3 linked regions of the Rattus norvegicus genome follow. The protein of the gene in region 3 purifies or fractionates together with the protein of the main gene of each other region. This does not show direct contact. Links are inferred from orthologs where the notes say so. Each region holds a gene or a part of one and is shown on either strand. Other genes may lie near its edges.

Region 1 (3,651 bases), on a different chromosome or scaffold from region 3:
TGACTGGATATTAATCAATATTAATATTAATTCTGACTTAGTATTGATCCATGCTAAGAAATTAATATTTTTTTCTTCATATTAAGAATCCGTCCTTGGTATGAACCGACTTCTCGTACTTATGTTCATTGGCGTTGGTTCCAGTTTTCTTTGCTTCCTTAGCAGAGTGCATCTCAGTTAACACTCCCTCAGTCAACTCCGTGCACGCCAGCCGCTGAGGCCATTATTTCCAGATGTCGCATGGCTGCTGACTGGCTGTGACCGGCTGAAACCTGTTGGCGGTGGTGATAATAATAAGCTTCACAGAAATTCGGAAAAAAATGCATCATGTGTTGCCTAAGACAGTGGAGGTGACCATGTGGTTTTTATTCTTTAATCTCTTAATATTTCTTTTTTTATATTTCTTATATACATATTTTTAATATTTCTTAATATTGTCATTGATTTCTTTTTAACGTTGGTTTTTACTATGAAACCGGCCTCACATCTTTTTTTTAAGTGAGAAAGAGAGCGAGCTTTTTTATTTTAAAGTATTTTAAAGTATATATATATATTATATACTGTAGCTGTCTTCAGACACACCAGAAGAGGGAATCCAATCTCATTACAGATGGTCGTGAGCCACCATGTGGTTACTGGGATTTGAACTCAGGACCTTTGGAAGAGCAGTCAGTGCTCTTAACCACTGAGCCATCTCTCCAGCCTAAGGCCTCGAATCTTTTTAACATTGATTGATTTTTTTTTTTTTTTTTTTTTTTTTTTACTGTTAAACCAGCCTTGCATTCTTATAGAATAAACCAAACTCTGCCACGTTACAATCCCTTTTTCTATACTGCTAGACTCAGTTCGTTTACGCACAGGTAATGATTCAGGAGCTCGAGCTCATGGGATTGTGTTTGTGGGACAGTTCTTAAGTGTGAATAATCTGTAATGTGTGCAGAGCCGGTCATGCTCTCTATTCTTCTTAAATCACATCCGGCAAATGCTGATCTTGGAGGGTCCCTTCCTGTTCTCTGGTAAAATTCATTCATGTTACATCCTGGTTATAGTTGTTGGGGACCCGTATGAAGGCCAAGCTGCACATGTGCTATATGTGTGTGCTATGTGGGGGCGTAGTAGGTGCAGCACGTGTGCTATGTGTGTGTGTGTGGGTGTGTGGGTATGTGTGTCGGGGGGCAGGGCGTGGTATAGGTGCAGCCCACATATGTGCTCTTTGGTTGGTGGTTCAGTCTCTGGGGGCCCCCAAGGGTCCAGGTTTGTGGACTCTGCAGATCTTCTGGGGTTCCGATCCCCGCTGGATCCTCTAACTCTTCCACGAGATTCAGGGGCTGGTTCTCACCCATGGGATGGGTCTCAGGTTGGGCTGGTTGTAAGTTCCCTTGGCCTCGGCTCCATCGTTGTCCCTGCACATCTTGTAGTCAGGATCTATTTTGGGTTGGAGATCCTGTGACATCCGGGTCGGTATCCTTATCCCTCCATCCTCCAATGTCCATTTTATTTCCTCCCCTGGGCCTTCCTCGGTATTTTGTTTCCTTGGTTCTGTGCATGGTAGCATGGTACCTGTAATTCACAGCTGATACCCACTCATGAGTACACACCGTATACATCCATCTGGGTCTGCATTGCCTCACTCAGGACGATATTTTCTACTTTCTTTTTTCTTTTTCTTTTTGGAGCTGGGGACTGAACCTAGGGCCTTGCGCTTGCTAGGCAAGCGCTCTACCACTGAGCTAAATCCCCAACCTCTACTTTCATCCATTCGTCTGCAACATTCATGATGTCTTTCTCTTTTTAACGGCTGCATAGTATTCCACTGTGTAGACAAACTGCATTTTCTTTATCCATTCTTCAGTTGAGGGATATCTTGGTCATTCCCAGTTTCTGGCTACTACAAATAAAGCTGCCGTGAACATAGTGGGGCAAATGTCCCTGCGGTACGGTGGGACATCTTTTTGGGTACATGCCCAGGAGTGGTATACCTGGGTCTTGAGGTAGAACCATTCCTAGTTTTCTAAGAAACCGCCAGATCCCAGCGGCAATTTAAAAATATCCCTCCTGCTCCCTGTCCTCAGTAGCCCTTGACATCACTCAAGATTTCTTTTTTTTTAAATCTTAGCCATTCTGGTTCGTGGGAGGTGGAATCTCAGGGTTGTTTCGATTTGCGTTTCCCCGACGACTGAGGATATCAAGGTGCTTCTGGGCCATCAGAGAAATAAATCAAAAAACAAACAAAAAAACCCAAAACCACAAAAAAAAAAAAAAACCCCCAAAATTGAGCGATATGACTTTGCTTCCGTGATTAAACTTTAAGAATGAACTTTAATTTTTCCTCTCCGTTTCAGTTCCCTTCGGCATTCGAGTTTAACGAGTTGTTCCTGATCGCAATTTTGGATCACCTGTACAGCTGCCTCTTCGGGACCTTCCTGTGCAACTGCGAGCAGCAGCGTGTCAGAGAGGTGAGCGCAGGTCACAGCGCGCTTCACAGCGCACGTCATAGCTATTCCGGGCGTACTGCGAAATCCACGTGTGTCCCTCGGTTTGATGAAACTATCAACTTTTAAAAAATATTTTAATTTATTTTATATGAATAAACAGGGTTTTATTTATTCCTATGAATATTTATTTATTTCTGCTAAGTTTTTAATTTTAAAAGGGAGGATTGAATGGTGGGTGTAATGGCATTGGAATCGAATCTCAATGCAGATGTTTAAATCCATCAATCCAGATGTTTAAAGCAGAACAAAACAAACCCACAACAGCGGAGTAAAATCTTTATCAATTTTCGTGACATAAATTAATTCTTCCGCCGACACAGTGAATGCGCTCATCGGAAGCGCAGTGCAGTCGCTGATGTTCAGTTCGGTGAGGCTTTTACCCACGCCTGTGGGATCCGCACGGCACCAGTGACACCCATTTTTCTGGTACCTCAGACACACACACACAGATACACCCAGACACACATACACATACACACACGCACACGTGCGCACATGCACAGACACACACACACAGGAATTAACAAATATTGGCCATTCATATAGAAAGTTCTCGTCCCTCCTCCCTGCAGCCAGTTTCCAGGTGTTGCCTCACTTTGGTGCTGTTTCTGGGGACAGCACATCTGCACATGAGGCTGTGTGCATCCAGATGTCTCAGTGTGTGAACTCAGCTCATTATTTAAAATACGTTTGTGTGAAAATAAGATAATAATAATAATCGCCCTCGGGGCTGCGGTGAGGAACTCACTCCCGTGTCCCGGTTGTTTGTTCCCAGGACGTCTGTGCAAAGACCCTGTCGCTGTGGTCCTACATCAACAGCCAACTCGACGAATTCTCCAACCCCTTCTTCGTGAGCTACGACCACCACGTGCTGTATCCGGTCGCGAGTGTTAGCCGCTTGGAATTGTGGGTAAATTACTACGTACGGTGGAACCCACGGATGAGGCCGCAGGTAATTTTCCGTTTTCTCGTTCTCATAAGGACATGACCTTTCTTCCTGGGCGAGGATGACGTCATAAGATGTATTCATGGTAGACGCTGACGTACTGAGGGTGCACTGCCCTAGGAGTTAGGGTTCCATGTTTTGTGTGTTCTAGAAGGTTCTTTGCCGTTACCAACCCCGCTCCGTTTACTGAGTTAAGAGTTCAAACTTTTT
Region 2 (3,651 bases), on a different chromosome or scaffold from region 3:
CTTTTTAACATGTAACTAGGAAAAAACTATGGTGTCTCAAAGGATAACTGCAGCCCAGAGGAGAAATTCAGTGCACTGGCTCTGACTGGGGGTGAATGACGCGCTATCATGCAGTTGAGAGAACCTCGCACAGCTAAAACACTGCTACACTAGTGACTGTCCCAGACTCCTAGTCACTGCCAGCTCTCCCCAGGGAGACTTCCAACTCTAATGAAGACTACATAAGCTTTTATCCTAGAAATATCCTGATGAAAAAATATTATATAAGCCAGCCTGTCTCAAATAAAGACACATAAACAAAATCGCTTGGTTACTGATGTGCCTACCATGTATAAAGCCCTGGGTTCAAGCTCCAGTTTGCTCCTCCTCCCAAGAAATCAACAGGTACTTATAGAGTGTCACATAGGGGACCTTAGGCACAAGACAGCCTCTAGCTAAGTGTCAAATCAGGAACATAAAAGGTAGCATCTGGACAACCTAGCTGGGTGTGTTCACACTAACAATTACAATATGGATTAGAGAGAAACATTACCAAGCCGTTAGACACAGGAAATGCATATTTCATTAGATTCTCAAATATTGATCTTCTTGTTCGCCCCTCTGGTTTATGAGCAAATCGTAAATTCCTGATATCCTAGAAAAGATATAGCGTCTAATTAAATCATTTTCTTTCTGTTTAATGAACAAATGAGGTTACTTGGAAATGTTGGGTAAAGGGAAGATCTGCATTTATACAACAACAGCTCCTGCAAACAAAGAACAATGAACTGGGAGCAGAAGAAACCTAGCACACACTACATGGCAGAGAATCTTCCTGGGCTCTCGGCTCGGCCGGCCAAAGGGGAAGAAAATGACCTAAGTACTGACAGAGGCCCAACATTTGTTCTTTTTGGGCAGATGGCTCAGTAGATAAAGTGCTTGTCTCATAAGCACAGGGCGTAGCTTACTTCCCAGAACCTAATTTTTAAAAATAAAAACCACAATCAGTCGTTATCATTTCTATCATGTACAGTGATCATCTTCTTACTTTTCTTCTTCCTAGGGCTCACTTCAAGTCTCCTCTGCTAGACAGGACTGGCCTGCCTTTACTTCCTCCTCCTCCTCCACTGCAATGACACGCCTAGAGCTGGCTGTGCCCACCCAGACTCGGCCTGCACTGGATCCTGGGAGCCCTCTCTGCGTGTGTCCTCAGCCACTTCCCATGCTCAGGCACAGTGACATTAGAAGCCAAATTTATGCTGGCCTAGCACCTAGTAAAAACATTTGACATTAAAAATGATTTTGAAATATCCATTTTTATTTAAGTATTTTAACTTAGGCAAAAGTTGAATTTACTTTGTTATAGTTTCATCGTTGTTGAGATGAGGCTGTACCCTACTCTGTTACTCAGTACTGTACAATATAAAATGATATACTTATAAGAAACAGTTTTGTTGGGGTTGGGGATTTAGCTCAGTGGTAGAGTGCTTACCTAGCAAGCGCAAGGCCCTGGGTTCGGACCCCAGCTCCAAAAAAAAAAAAAAAAAAAAAAAAGAAAAGCAAAGAAAAAAAAAAAAGAAACAGTTTTGTTTGTTTTTAATACTGACACTCCATTTTACAAGCAATTTTAGACTTCATTCCAGGGAAGAAAGACGACTGTATCCTTGAGAGCACCCCGAAATGACACTATGTGTCACACAGCACCCATCCAGCCAGCAGAGTCTGACCAATGGATTTACTCCTGACGGTAGGAGAACACTCCGGTAACGTAGAAAAACCACACACAGAGACAACACATGGTGTATTTTCAATGCAAATAGCTTACTGCAAATCTGAGCCAAATGAGTAGCATCTGTACTCTTCTGTGAAAACACACATCTGTACACTGTGCCCTCCTGTACGTCTCTATGACTAGTGAAGACCCTCAGATCACCTCTTTGGTTAACTGCTCTCTAGCAAAGATCCAACTATAATGGTACAGATCCACAAAAGCAAAGCAAAACAAAACAAAACAAAACAAAAAACCTTATCTACAATGAGTTCAAAAGCCAGCCTTCCTGAAACTTTATGTACTATTTCTTGCTAAAGAAATACCAAGAAGCAAGGTATACGATATACATGGATGAGAGCTAGTATACTCAGAACCTTGACATCAAGACAATACTAGGGGTTGGGGATTTAGCTCAGTGGTAGAGCGCTTGCCTAGAAAGCGCAAGGCCCTGGGTTCGGTCCCCAGCTCCGAAAAAAAGAACCACAAAAAAAAAAAAAAAGAAAATACTAGTGACTAAGTCAATAATTTTAACAGGAGATTCAACAAACTTTTAAGATGAACATATGCAAACACTCTGGATGATATATACTGTCTCTTTTTCTTAGGGCACTGAGAGAATGCAACAGAAGTCATGCGGTCTAGAATTGAGATGTGCACAAGCCAGGTGGTGGCAGCACACACGTGGCAGGCAGAGGCAGGCGGATCTATGAGTTTGAGACCAGCCTGGTCTACAGAGCAAGTTCCAGAACAGAGACCTTATCCTAGAAAACAACAATAACAAAAAAAGAGATGTGCAAAGATGTTGATTAGGTCCTGGTATAAAATGCCATGTGATTTAACAGTGAATAACACTCACTACCCTAAGAATACATTTTTAGTATGTAATCCACTTGGACCAGTTTCCAAGTAGAGGTTCTATTTAACAGCTCTAGAGCAAATACAACCATACCAAGATTGTAAAATTTACCTTGCACACCGTTTCCAGGCCATAAGAATTTTCACCACGGCTAGATGCACCACCGATTTTTTCTACTCTACTTATCACCCCAAGAGAAGCATCTAGAACAAACGGAGGGTCCTGCAAGATGAAAAGAAAACATACAACTTATAAAAAACTGCAAAGTGCTTGAATAACATGAACAGGACCATGGACACCTGCTTCCCCAAAATGTTAAAAATCTTAACCAGAAATTCTTTAATCAAATATTATCCAGAAGTGAACTGGGAGTGGTGGAGCAACCTTTACACCAAGCACTTGGAGACTGAGGCAGGAAGACTACTGAGTTTGAGTCTAGTTTGGTCCCATAGCAAGTTACAGGACAGCTATGACTACATACTTAAGACTTTATGTCTCAAAAATAAATAAGTCAATTAACCAGAAGTAAGCAAACATACCAAACACACACAAATATATAGACAAAAGCCTCACCCGTTCCATGCTCTTGAAATATAATCTGTAATTTGTGACAGTCAGCGTCCCTCGTACAGCACCAGTGAACGGACATATGTAAGTCACATCTTTGGCTGAAAAGACAAAATAGCCATAGTTTACTTGACACTATGTGCTGTTAAAAACAGATTACGCATTTTATAAAAGTAATTTGACTGCTTGGCTAATTGTAACAAATCATAGAATAAATGGTGTAAAAAAATCCTTCAGAAGCTTAATCTAAACTTCCAACTTTATCTTAATCTAAGAACTATAGTATCCCTGGCTGTCCGGGAACTCATTTTGCAGATCAAACTGGCCTTGAACTCAGAGATCAGCCTGCTTCCGTTGAGATTAAAGGCGGGCACCACCACCAACTAGCTAATGCAGGGTTTTTCAATCTTAAAATATTATAAATTCCTTCCATGCCATTATTAGGGCAAAATATCATATTCCCCCAAGGAAATGCAGG
Region 3 (3,651 bases):
AAGGGTGAGCGCAGAGGCCAGTTGGCTTGCAAGTCTGTGTGGGAATATGTAGACCGGCTAAGCAAGAGGACCCCCATGTTCTACAACTACACATATGCACCTGAGGACACAGAGGTGAGTGGGGCCTGGCTGGGGCGGCGGCTCCCACGTAGCCGGGCTTCTTATGGAGGCTTACTTTCCCCAGGTGCTGCGGCCCTACAGCAATGTGTCCAACCTGAAGGTGTGGGATTTCTACACTGAGGAGACGCTGGCTGAGGGGCCCCCTTATGACTGGGAGCTGGCCCAGGGGCCTCCTGAGCCTCCAGAAGAGGAGCGTCCTGATGGAGGTGCTCCCCAGAGCAGGCGCCGTGTGGTTTGGCCGTGCTATGACAGCCGCCCTCGAGTCCAGCCTGATGCCATCTCACGTCTGCTGGAGGTGTGTGCTGTCCCAGGCAGCAGGAGAAGGCCTGTGCATGTGTGTGTGTGTCAGCAGCTCCCCTTGAGAGCTGGGGGTGGCTCTCACTTCACTCACTGTGTGAACTGCTTACATACTTCAGATAGCTGTGGGTCTTAGGTCTTTGTCTCGTGCTAATAGATATTTACAGATAGTGATGCGAAAGCATCTGTCAGAAACTCTCAAGACTCAAGACTTGGGTTTTGCTCTTGGCATATGTGTATCCCTTTACCTGGTATATTAATCACTTTTTGTCGCTGTGAGGAAATACTGAGATATGTTAGTTTACAAGGTAGAGAAATTCATTTAGCTTGCAGTTCTGGAGGCTCAAGGGAATGTACTCAGTTCTAGGAAGTGTCTGGGCTGGGCCACATCATGGCGGTCTCCCAAGAAATTTTCTCACCCTTTCCAAGACCTTCCCTATGACCAGAGACCTTCCACCAGACCCCACCTCTTACAGATTCATCACTTCCTACCTAATCTGCTACTCGGGGACTAGTCTTACTTTCACACATGTACCTTGAGGTCAAACCACATGCACACTTCAGTACCTGGGTGTCAGTGCAGGCAGAGTTGTCCCAGGAGTTACTCACTCTCTGTCTGCTCAGCTGTCTGTCTGGCATGCCTGAAAGTGAGCAGTAGCTCTCCTGGGATCCAGCCCTGGAGTTTAGGGAATCACTTTTGCCTTCAATTTGCCATCTTTTCTGGCTCTATCTGTTCAGGAATCAGACTCAAGGCACAGATCCCTTGAAAGAAAAAATGGTCAAGTGAGCTGTGCTAGATGCTCTGTGGTAGCTGAGGCAATGTACAGTGACAGACTCTGTCTGTGGCATGGCCTCCCTTAGTGGCTCATTAAAGGGGTTGAGCAGTCAGAAGTCCTAAGAAGGACTTAGCCCCAAGTCCTAAGTAAGAAGAGGTTTGCACTCCTCTGTGCTGACTGTGTTCCCTTCAAGATTAAGTGAGCATCCCCTGACTTCTTCTTGTGCAAAGTATGTTGATCTGTGCCTCCCAAGGGAGGGAGTAAATGTGAAATATGTTTGGATGAGCCAGTATAGGGCCTGATCGGAAGGGTTTATTCCTCGAGTGCGCCTGTGTGCACCTGTGGGCACCTGTGGGCGGGTAGTTTTGTACAGGGAATGATAGTGTGGAAATCAGAAGAGTTGTCTTGATCTGATTTTACTGGGCCTCTTAGCTTTCCTACGGCATAAATACGCATAGTATTTTATTTTTGTTTTAGTCAACTTTGTTTTTAAAGAAGTTACACAATGAGAGAAAGGCTTTCTATTTCTGCCATCTCCAGTATCTTTGCTTTGCTTGGCTTTCTATCAGTGGAGCTTGAATGTAAAAACTTCCACATCTGAATCCTACATTCAAAGAAAATACTTTTAAAAGTAATGACGCGTGGGCTAAGTGTAGACTAGCTCAGTGTTGGAGAAAGCACTTGTTTCCATGCACAAAGCTGGAGTTAATATTCACCACTAAACAAGTCAAAAGAAAGGAAGGTGTTTACTCCCTCCCTTGGGAGGCACAAATCAGCATCCTACTTTGTACATGAAGAAGCCAGGTAATGCTCATATACTCTTGAAGGGAATTCAATACTAAGGATTGAACTCAGGGCCTTATATATGGCCAGGCAAATGCTCTACCACTGAGCTACAGCTGAAACTTGGTCATCATCATCACCACCATCACCATCATCATCACCACCACCACCCTCACCATCATCACCATCATCATCACCACCACCACCATCATCCAAGATCTATGTTGTCCTAGCTGACTACAATTTAAGATCCTCCTGCCTCAGCCTCCCCATTATTTACAAGTACAGGCATACTCTAGGTCTGGCCTCTAATTCCTTTTTTCTTTGTATATCTAGTCCAATACCAGTTCCTTTCAGACTGAAAAATTTTTAGTATTTCTTGTAATACAGATTTGCTAGTCAGTTTTATTACATCTGACATGTCCCCACCCTTTGTGGTAGTGCAGTCTATTGAGTGAGTCAGTCCCAGGACCTTGTGTGTACATGAAGTGTTCTGCCACTGAACCATGACCTCTGCCCGCCCGACTACCTGCAGTATCTTTAAGGGTGTGTGTGTGTGTCTGTGTGTCTGTGTCTGTGTCTGTCTGTCAGGGTCTCACTCTAGCCCAAGTTAACCTAGAACTAATGTATTTTTCTTTCTCGGGCTGGCTTCAAGCTCAGTAACCTTTATATCTTAGCTTTCTAGTTAACAGCGCATGCTGTTGTGCCCAGCTAATGCTAACTCTGAGACACGTCTTAACGTAGCTAAGGAAGGACTTGAGCTCCTTCCTGATATTTTTGCTTCAACCTTCCAAGTTTTAGGATTACATTTATAAACTGCCATGCCCAACTCTCACTTATTTTTAAGAGATAGGGTGTTGCTGTGTTTCCCTAGGCTGGCCTTGAACCTCTAATCCTAAATGATCCTTCTATTTTAGCCTTCCAGTTAGGTAGAATTATGTGGGAAACGCAATGCCTGGTTTTGCCTACCTGTCTCTTTCCACCTTTCTTTTGACTTGTTTAGTGGTGAATATTAACTCCAGCTTTGTGCATGGAAACAAGTGCTTTCTCCAACACTGAGCTAGTCTACACTTAGCCCACGCGTCATTACTTTTAAAAGTATTTTCTTTGAATGCAGGGTTCAGATGTGGTCAGTTTTTACACTCAAGCCCCACTGATAGAATAGTGGAGGCGTCATTACGTTGTTTTCTGGCTTGCAGTGTGCTCACCAAAGTCAGTGCTCATTCATATCCTTATAGACCATGGAACGCCATCTTTTATTTTTATCTTTCGATATAATCCTCGTTGGCCTGCATCTGCCTCCTGAGTGCTGGGATTAAAGAAGTGGACCACCCCTAGACATACTTTAAGAAAGTTTTTGAAATTAGATATACTTTAAAAAATTTTGAAATTATATTTACTTACTTAGTGTGTCTGTGCATGTGTGAGGGTAGAAGATTAGAGGTCAACTTTGAGGAGCCATTCTGTCCTCCTCACACAGCACACATAGGACTGTCTTCCTCATACAGCACACATAGGACTGTCTTCCTCACACAGCACACATAGGACTGTCCTCCCTCACACAGTACACATAGGTCTGTCCTCCCTCACACAGTACACATAGGTCTGTCCTCCCTCACACAATACACATAGGTCTGTCCTCCCTCACACAATACACATAGGACTGTCCTCCTCA

The links.
Region 1: the proteins of Sbf1 (region 3) and Mtmr1 purify together in Homo sapiens (affinity purification with mass spectrometry; 4 studies listed by BioGRID and IntAct, with this or other methods). This does not show direct contact. The link is inferred for Rattus norvegicus from reciprocal best matches to the Homo sapiens genes SBF1 and MTMR1.
Region 2: the proteins of Sbf1 (region 3) and Mtmr2 purify together in Homo sapiens (affinity purification with mass spectrometry; 6 studies listed by BioGRID and IntAct, with this or other methods). This does not show direct contact. The link is inferred for Rattus norvegicus from reciprocal best matches to the Homo sapiens genes SBF1 and MTMR2.

Annotation. Positions count from the first base shown.
Region 1 is NC_086036.1:256,776-260,426, forward strand, and holds part of Mtmr1 (myotubularin-related protein 1), read left to right. Parts: intron 1-2,342; coding exon 2,343-2,456; intron 2,457-3,270; coding exon 3,271-3,447; intron 3,448-3,651. UniProt on the Homo sapiens protein: Lipid phosphatase that specifically dephosphorylates the D-3 position of phosphatidylinositol 3-phosphate, generating phosphatidylinositol. Could also dephosphorylate phosphatidylinositol 3,5-bisphosphate to produce phosphatidylinositol 5-phosphate.
Region 2 is NC_086026.1:18,930,449-18,934,099, reverse strand, and holds part of Mtmr2 (myotubularin-related protein 2), read right to left. Parts: intron 3,275-3,651; coding exon 3,180-3,274; intron 2,829-3,179; coding exon 2,718-2,828; intron 635-2,717; coding exon 533-634; intron 1-532. UniProt on the Homo sapiens protein: Lipid phosphatase that specifically dephosphorylates the D-3 position of phosphatidylinositol 3-phosphate and phosphatidylinositol 3,5-bisphosphate, generating phosphatidylinositol and phosphatidylinositol 5-phosphate.
Region 3 is NC_086025.1:122,240,414-122,244,064, reverse strand, and holds part of Sbf1 (myotubularin-related protein 5), read left to right. Parts: coding exon 1-114; intron 115-184; coding exon 185-415; intron 416-3,651. UniProt on the Homo sapiens protein: Acts as an adapter for the phosphatase MTMR2 to regulate MTMR2 catalytic activity and subcellular location. Promotes the exchange of GDP to GTP, converting inactive GDP-bound Rab proteins into their active GTP-bound form.